Linked DNA regions of Macaca fascicularis. The protein of the gene in region 1 purifies or fractionates together with the protein of each later gene. This does not show direct contact. Links are inferred from orthologs where the notes say so. Each region holds a gene or a part of one and is shown in the gene's direction. Other genes may lie near its edges.

What was found. Proteins that work in one complex are often made in the same cells at the same time.
Region 2: the proteins of DVL2 (region 1) and DACT1 purify together in Homo sapiens (affinity purification with western blotting; 3 studies listed by BioGRID and IntAct, with this or other methods). This does not show direct contact. The link is inferred for Macaca fascicularis from reciprocal best matches to the Homo sapiens genes DVL2 and DACT1.

What each region holds. Positions count from the first base shown.
Region 1 is NC_088390.1:7,281,015-7,285,337, reverse strand, and holds the start of DVL2 (segment polarity protein dishevelled homolog DVL-2), read left to right. Parts: upstream 1-1,456; 5' UTR 1,457-1,711; coding exon 1,712-1,905; intron 1,906-4,323. Other genes in the region: PHF23 (PHD finger protein 23), read left to right, coding at 1-40, 132-346.
Region 2 is NC_088381.1:126,474,374-126,478,021, forward strand, and holds part of DACT1 (dapper homolog 1), read left to right. Parts: coding exon 1-110; intron 111-856; coding exon 857-1,012; intron 1,013-3,648.

The sequences.
Region 1 (4,323 bases):
GAGATGCGGGTCATGGATGAGGACATCATGGTAGAATCAGGTGAGAGGTTTGGGCTGGGGCGAGGGGTTTGAGGGTGTTGTGGATCCAACAACTGCTCAGGCAGAATACCAAACAAACCTTTTTTCCCCAGGTGATGACTCATGGGATCTGATCACGTGTTACTGTCGAAAGCCCTTTGCAGGGCGGCCCATGATTGAGTGCAGCCTGTGTGGGACGTGGATCCACCTCTCCTGTGCTAAGATTAAGAAGACCAACGTCCCTGACTTCTTTTATTGCCAGAAATGCAAGGAACTGAGGCCAGAGGCCCGGCGGTTAGGGGGGCCTCCCAAATCTGGAGAGCCCTGACGGCACCAACTTTAGCCTGGAACTTCCAAATGATAACATGATTTGGGAACTGAGCCTCAGGGTCCTCAGCCTACCCCCTGGAGCTTGGATACTGTCCGCACTTCAAGGCAGGAATTCCCAAGGGAGACTTGTTTGAAAATGAGTGTCTCACTTGCCTACCCTATCCGTCCTCCCCACTCTGAACTTGAAATTGAACCCATTACGGTTGCGGGTGGGAGGCTGTCTGTGTCTCTAGACACATAATCTCTGTCTCTTGGACCTGCCACCATCACTTTCTGGGTCAGGATTGGAATTGGGATGGAATGGGACAGTTGTCTATAAAACTCTAGTGTAAATATTAGCACTCCCCTCCCTCATCTTTTCTTCTATTTCACTCCCCATTTATTTTCTTCTACACCGGTTGTATTTTTAATTTTGGACTTCCCCTACTGGGCATGGCAGCTCAAAGGTGGAGTACTAGAGCCTGGCCAAGCAAGGAAGGAAAGCAGAAAGGTGACGATTCTCACTCACCTCTTTTGTTTTTAATAATATTGGCCGCTGTTTGTACAGACAGCCTGCGTGTTGTAAATAAAGCAGAGTGGGCTCTTTTGTGTTTATAGCCCTCACTGTCCTGCTTGGGAGGGAGGCTTTGGTGGCTGAAGACTAGCTGGACGTGGTGCTGAAAGCCACCTCTCACAGTCCAGTCTGAAGATGGCACAGCACTGGGCCTCTCCCACCCCAAGATACTTGAGTAAGCCACCTCAGAGCTTTCATTGTATTTGGCCCTCCCCACTCGAGTCTAGGAACCCCCACAATCCCCACCTTCACTCCCTGCACGCACACTCCTGAGGGTCAGAGTTGCTTCGCGCTCCCGCCGGTGTGGGGTAAAGCCGGGTGGGAGCCGACTGTCCGCTTCCTGAGGGCACAGGCCAGCTTATCCTGGGTGCTCCGAGGACCTCGGCTGGGGTACACCTTTGGGGGCTGGGAGACCGTTGCCGAAGGCAGCGATCACGTGGCGGGGGCACTAGGAGGAGTCACGCGGTCACGTGACTGGGAGGGGTCACGTGACGGGGGCGGCTGAAGAGCGCGGGGTGGGCGGGCTTAGGTCACGTGACATGAGGAGAGGTGGGCGGGGACCTGGAGGACGCTCGCGTTGTCGGTGGCGGTGGCGCGCGGCGGCCGCTGAGACCGCGGCTTTGAGTCGCACCTCGCGGCCCGCCCCCCGCCGCCACCCTTGCCGACCCCTGCTTTTTTCCCTTTGCTTCTCTCCAGTACTGGGTCCGTCCTGTCCGCGCTCGCTCGTCGGTTTGCGGGTGTGCGCAGGCGCGGCAGGGGCCATTAGCCCCTTGGGTGGGCGGTGGAGCCCGGGAGCGCGCGGGCGAGACCATGGCGGGCAGCAGCGCTGGGGGCGGTGGGGTTGGGGAGACGAAGGTGATTTACCACCTGGATGAGGAAGAGACTCCATACCTGGTGAAGATCCCTGTCCCCGCCGAGCGCATCACCCTCGGCGATTTCAAGAGCGTCCTGCAGCGGCCCGCGGGCGCCAAGTACTTTTTCAAGTCTATGGATCAGGATTTCGGGTGAGCGCAAGGCCTAGATAGGACCGACGGGGGCTTTGCTAGAGTGGATTGGGCGACGTGGAGGGGCACACATCTACTTCGGGCCACACTAGGATTTTCTGGCCTGTGGTGGAGCAGATTGTACCATGCTGAGGTAGGTTGACTCTCCCAGGATGGACAAGGTTATGCTTGGATAGATTGAGGCACACGGGCAGACTAGGATATCCTAAACCAGATTAGAGACGATTAGGCTCTACTGGAATAGGTGGAGGCATACTGGTTTATTTTGGAGTGTTTTAGACTGTACTGAGTAAATTCATCTATCGTCTGGTCGTTTAGTACGTTCTCAGGAGTCCTGTAACGCCTGTAATCTCAGCACTTTGGGAGGCCGAGGCGGGCGGATCACGAAGTCAGGAGATCGAGACTATCCTGGCTAACACGGTGAAGCCCCATCTGTACTAACTAAAAATACAAAAAAATTAGCCGGGCGTGGTGGCGGGCGCCTGTAGTCCCAGCTACTTGGGAGGCTGAAGCAGGGAGAATCGCTTGAACCTGGGAGGCGGAGGTTGCAGTGAGCCGAGATCGCGCCACTGCACTCCAGCCTGGACGACAGTGCAAGACTCCATCTCCAAAAAAAAAAAAACACCAAAAAACAAAACAAAACAAACTTGGGCCATTATGGACTCTACTGGGCTGTATTGGTTAATCCTGGTTTATCTTGGGGCAAGACATGGTTTTATTGGAGCACTCAGTATGGGGGCAGACAAGGCTGTTGGTGCCCATGCTAGTACAGGTAGCTGTATTGGGGTATTCTAGTCTATATTGGTGCAGACAGCTGCGTGTGGGGACATTGTAGGCTGTGCTAGAATAGATTGGGCTATCCTAGGGTAATTTGGACATTCAGGGCTATCTTGGACTAGATTGGCATGTAAATAATGCAGAGAAAGCCCTTTTGTGTTTATGGTCTTTGGGGCTGAGCCCTCTCTGGGTCCTCAACCTCTGCTTTTTTTTTTTTTTTTTTTTTTTAAAGACAAGAGTCTCGCTCTGTCGCCCAGGCTGGAGTGCAGTGGCTGATTCTCGGTTCACTGCAAGCTCCGCCTCCCGGGTTCACGCCATTCTCCTGCCTCAGCCTCCCCACTAGCTGGGACTACAGGCACCCACCACCACACCTGGCTAATTTTTTGTATTTTTTAGTAGAGACGGAGTTTCACCGTGTTAGCCAGGATGGTCTCGATCTACTGACCTCATGATCGGACCGCCTCGGCCTCCCAAAGTGATGGGATTACAGGCGTGAGCCACTGCGCCCAGCCCAACCTCTGCTTTTTTGAAGGCAGGCTGGATTAAGTTGAGATAGCATGGGTTTTAGAAGAACTGAACAAACTGGACTCTAGCTAGAAAGATTGTTTGACATGGGAAGGGTGATACTATCTTGGGAGTTATCTTGGCTTTAAGTCAAGGTTCTTCTAGTTGTCAGCAGTGCAATCTTGGACAATTAATTTAAATTTTGTGTCTTGATCTCGTCTGTGACATGGAGAAAATCACAGAATGAAATGGTTAGTTCAGGTGTGTGGTACATGGTGAATTCTTGGTGAATGGTAATTGTCATTAGTATTGAGGCTGACTACTCTATAAAGGTTATGGTGATACACAGTAATTTGTCTTAAGAGTGGACTGAGCTATGCTGAGATTGTGTTATGTTGGGAAGAATCCTACATGATGCTGAGACAGATTGGTAGTGACTGGGCTGTGTTGTCACATTGACAGCAAATGGATTAAGTTGATATATATCCTGGCTCTTATGACCATATTAGGCTAATGGGTTAATTAGACAAGGTGTCCTAATTTGGCGGCAAGGGTGTGTGTGGAAAGAGAGAGAGAAACAACCAGGGCAGAGAGTCTGATGCTTTATATGTTTATTCATTTAGTTGACAGTATTTGTTAATGCCTAAGTGTCAGTGTGTGGTGTGTGGCCAGGACATGGTGTTGATCAGAGTAAGTGTTCATGGTTTGATGTCGTGGTCAAGAAGAAGGGGCAAGTCCAGTCCACCACAGGGAACCCATTGGAGAGATGACCCCAAGGCTGGGCTTTGGGATCTGTCAGGCTGAGCAGATTGCTTCGTGCCGAATTTTGTGCCAGATGAGGCACAGGGGAATGGGAGCGCCAGCTTGCTCTCTCCTTGGGAGCTTTCAGTCTAATGAGGAGCTTCCATTGTTTGTTTGATCTAATGGTGGGTGGTTTTGTTTTTTGTTGTTTTTTGTTTGTTTGAGGTGGAATCTCACTCTGTCGCCCAGGCTGGAGTGCAGTGGCGCAATCTCGGCTCACTGCAACCTCCGCCTCCTGAGTTCAAGCGATTCTCCTACTTCGGCTTCCGGAGTAGTTGGGATTATAGTGTGCACCACCGTGCCCGGCTCATTTTTGTATTTTTAGGAGAGACAGGG
Region 2 (3,648 bases), on another chromosome or scaffold:
TGGTTTGTTGAATCAGTTGCAAGAGCTTGACAAGCAGATAAGTGACCTGAGACTGGATGTAGAAAAGACATCTGAAGAGCACCTGGAGACAGACAGTCGGCCTAGCTCAGGTGAGTGAGTGAGCACAAGGACAGAATTCTGCACTCTTGAGTTATATCTCAGCCCCTTGTGGTTAACATTCCCAGACCTGCAAATGGCAATGGAGTTTGTTTCCAGTGCACAGAGAGAGGATAAAAAATAAAATAAAAAAAAAGCAGCCTGCCATTCAGTTTCATTGGAATAAGAGGGAAATAAACTCAGACAACAAAATTTTTGGTAATGAGATCGATGTGACTGGAGTCCCCCCGAGTTTAAAAATAAAAGCTATTCAAATTTCTGCAAGAGCTGCCCTCCTTTGAAACTTGAGTAAGTCAGAACTGGGCTAGAAAATTAGTCACACTTCAACTTCCTGAGACCACTTCAAAAGTTTTTTTTTTTTTTTTTCTTTTAAACCATTGGCTCCTTAAATAGATTTTTCTCTTATTATTTTTCTGAAACAATCATGATAAAGATGAGGCTTGACAGATCTAAGTTTCTTTCCTTGGACATCTTCAAAGGCGGGGTCAAGGAGTAAGGTCAGTTTGAGGGTGAGAGTAACTCTGAAATGTACCCCTGCTTATGGCTCTTTGCCTTTTCCTAAGGATTGTTTGAAATAAGACCATAAGATTAGGACACTAAAGTCCAGTGAACCAAAATTGGCCAAAAAACAAACAAATAAAAATCTCCTTTCCCTAAATGATTATTCATTTTCCTTTTAAGCATGAATATGCATTATTCCTTGACATGATCTTAATTCCAATGGTGTTTTTATTTGTAGGGTTTTATGAGCTGAGTGATGGGGCTTCAGGATCCCTTTCCAATTCCTCTAACTCGGTGTTCAGTGAGTGTTTATCCAGTTGTCATTCCAGCACCTGCTTTTGCAGCCCCTTGGAGGCGACCTTGACTCTCTCAGATGGTTGCCCCAAATCTGCAGGTAAGAATTTTTAGCACTGATAGAAATTTTTTAATTGGAAGGTGTCAAGGGCCCTTAAAAGGTTATTTGGCTCTAGCACCTTTCACTGGTAGAAAAATGAAGGTTCATCAATTTGCAGCATTTAGTGCCATACTTACAGCTAGAACTCATAGTTTCATTTAGGTGAGTATCTAGAACTATTCCAGTACCCTTTGGGTGCTACTTGGTTATATATTCTGATAGCAGCAAGACAGTTTATCTCTAGAAATCCTGTCCCAATATTGTAGGTATTGAGCTCTGTTTCCGAGCCTTTGCTGTTAGGTTAACTTGTCTATATTTTCTTTCATTCTGGAACCGTTTTCTTCTTTTAATTATTTAAAGCTAAAACTCAGCCGGGTACAGTGGCTCACACCTGTAATCCCAGCACTTTGGGAGGCTAAGGCGGTTGGATCACCTGAGTTCAGGAGTTCAAGACCAGCCTGGGTTGGCCTGGCACAGTGGCTCACCCCTATAATCCTAGCATTTTGGGAGGCCGAGGTGGGGGATCACTTGAGGTCAGGAGTTCAAGACCAGCCTGGCCAACATGGTAAAACCCCATCTCCACTAAAAATACAAAAATTAGCCAGGCATGGCGGCACACGCCTATAGTCCCAGCTACTTGGGAGGCTGAGGGAGGAGAATTGCTTGAACCCAGGAGGTGGAGGTTGCAGTGAGCCAAGATCGTGCCACTGCACTCCAGCCTGGGCGACGGAGAGAGACTCAGGCTCAAAAAAAAAAAAAAAAAAAAAACCAGCCTGTGCAACGTGGTGAAACACCTTCTCTACTAAAAATACAAAAATCAGCTGGGTGTGGCAGCATGTGCCTGTAATCCCAGCTACTTGAGAGGCTGAGGCAGTAGAATCGCTTGAACCCTGGAGGCGGAGGTTGCAGTGAGCCGAGATCTTGCCATTGCACTCCAACCTGGGCAACAGAGTGAGGCACCATCTCAATCAATCAATCTAACACTCACATTAAGTTAAATATGTCCATCAGCCTGGCCAAAAACTGGTTGGCACTTCAGGATGCAGTGGCCCCTTCATGTTCTCCAGAATATTCTGCATGATGGCAGCTTGTTTTTTCTTTTAGTAAGTGGGTGCCCACATGCCATTATTCCTTATTTTGGGATATCTTTGCAATGACCCCCAGAAGGAATCATGCTATTATACTAGAAGAGTTTCTGCATTTCCAGTATGTGTCGCACACTGTGCTGGATGCTCTGTATACATTTATCTCCACTGAATCCTCCCAGTAGTTCTGCACAGTACAGGTCTTGTTAGCTCCATTTTATGTATTAAAAAAATGAGGCCTAGTAAGGTTAGATATGTTATTTAAGGCTCTATAGATAGTGAGTGGCAGAGGCAGAAGTTAAGCTCAGGCCTAACTGCCAGGTCCATGGTTTTCCATCATCCCAAGGGAATTCAGAAATTGTTGTTTTCAAACTTCTCATCTAACAGAAGAGGAATTTTGGCTTATAAGCCATTTGTCAGAGGTTCTCCATCTGCTGAATGGCAGGGTTGCTGCTGGAACTCAAGACTTCTTCCTTAGTCCTGTTATATTGTGAATTCTTATAAGAGAAAATATGAAGATTAGAATTGCTCTGGGTGCTGGCACAAGTCATCACTCTCCTGGTTTGTCTGTGTTCTCCACTTGGGTATAAGCCTGAATTTTTGAGTCCGGGCGAGGCAGACAACACTAAGCAGCTGAGGGAGCTAATTGGCTGGTGTCTTCCTATCTGTGTGTTGTCAGCAGCAATCATTTGGGGAAGCACAGAACTGTGTTATCTAGAGGATCTGGGCCTCAAGTTCATTGGTAATTACTCCCCTTCATTCTGCAGATCTGGTTTCAGAGGGAAACTTTATAAACCCATTAAAGGCACTTTGGTTTAGGTTTTCCTTCAAGACAGACCTGTGCTCTTCCAAATGCCACATCCTCACATAATTGAGACAGTTGCACAAGGCCTTGGGGGCTGGGATATCTGTTTTGTTCAATTCTAAAGAGGGAAAAGGGATGAATAGTGAAGTGTTTGTCAGTGTGGCTTTAAGTAAGGCAGAGATAGGGCTTAGGTTGCTGGGGGAGGAAGGATAGGGAAGGATGTTAGCTAGATGTTTCCTTTTAGAAAAAGCTATTTATTGAGGGGAGGGTCATGTGGGTGGGGACATGGCACTTTTGTTTTATTATATTTTCTTTACATATCATCTCTGGGTCTAGACTATTTTTTCCCTCAGACTGCTAATTATCATTGAAGTTCATGGAGCTTTCTCAACATAGAATCAGGCACATGTAGATTCTCAGTATTTGAATGAATAAATATAATGGAGGACAAATTATTACTGATAAACTCAATTTTAATTTTCTCTGATAACTGAAGGTCATTAAAAGGATTTGTTATTTATAATATTCGCCAACTTAAGAGATCAAAATCATTTAAGACAGCAAGCTTGATTTTGTTGTACTTTGGCATCTACATTTTCAAGATGGGGAAATTTATCCATTAATATTACCACTCAATCTTTTAAAATCTTAAATCAAGAATTCTTTATCATATTAAAAAAAAAGTTTTAAATTGAAATTTGTTTTTAGAGAGATGGGGTCTCACTATGTTGTCCAGGCTGGTCTTG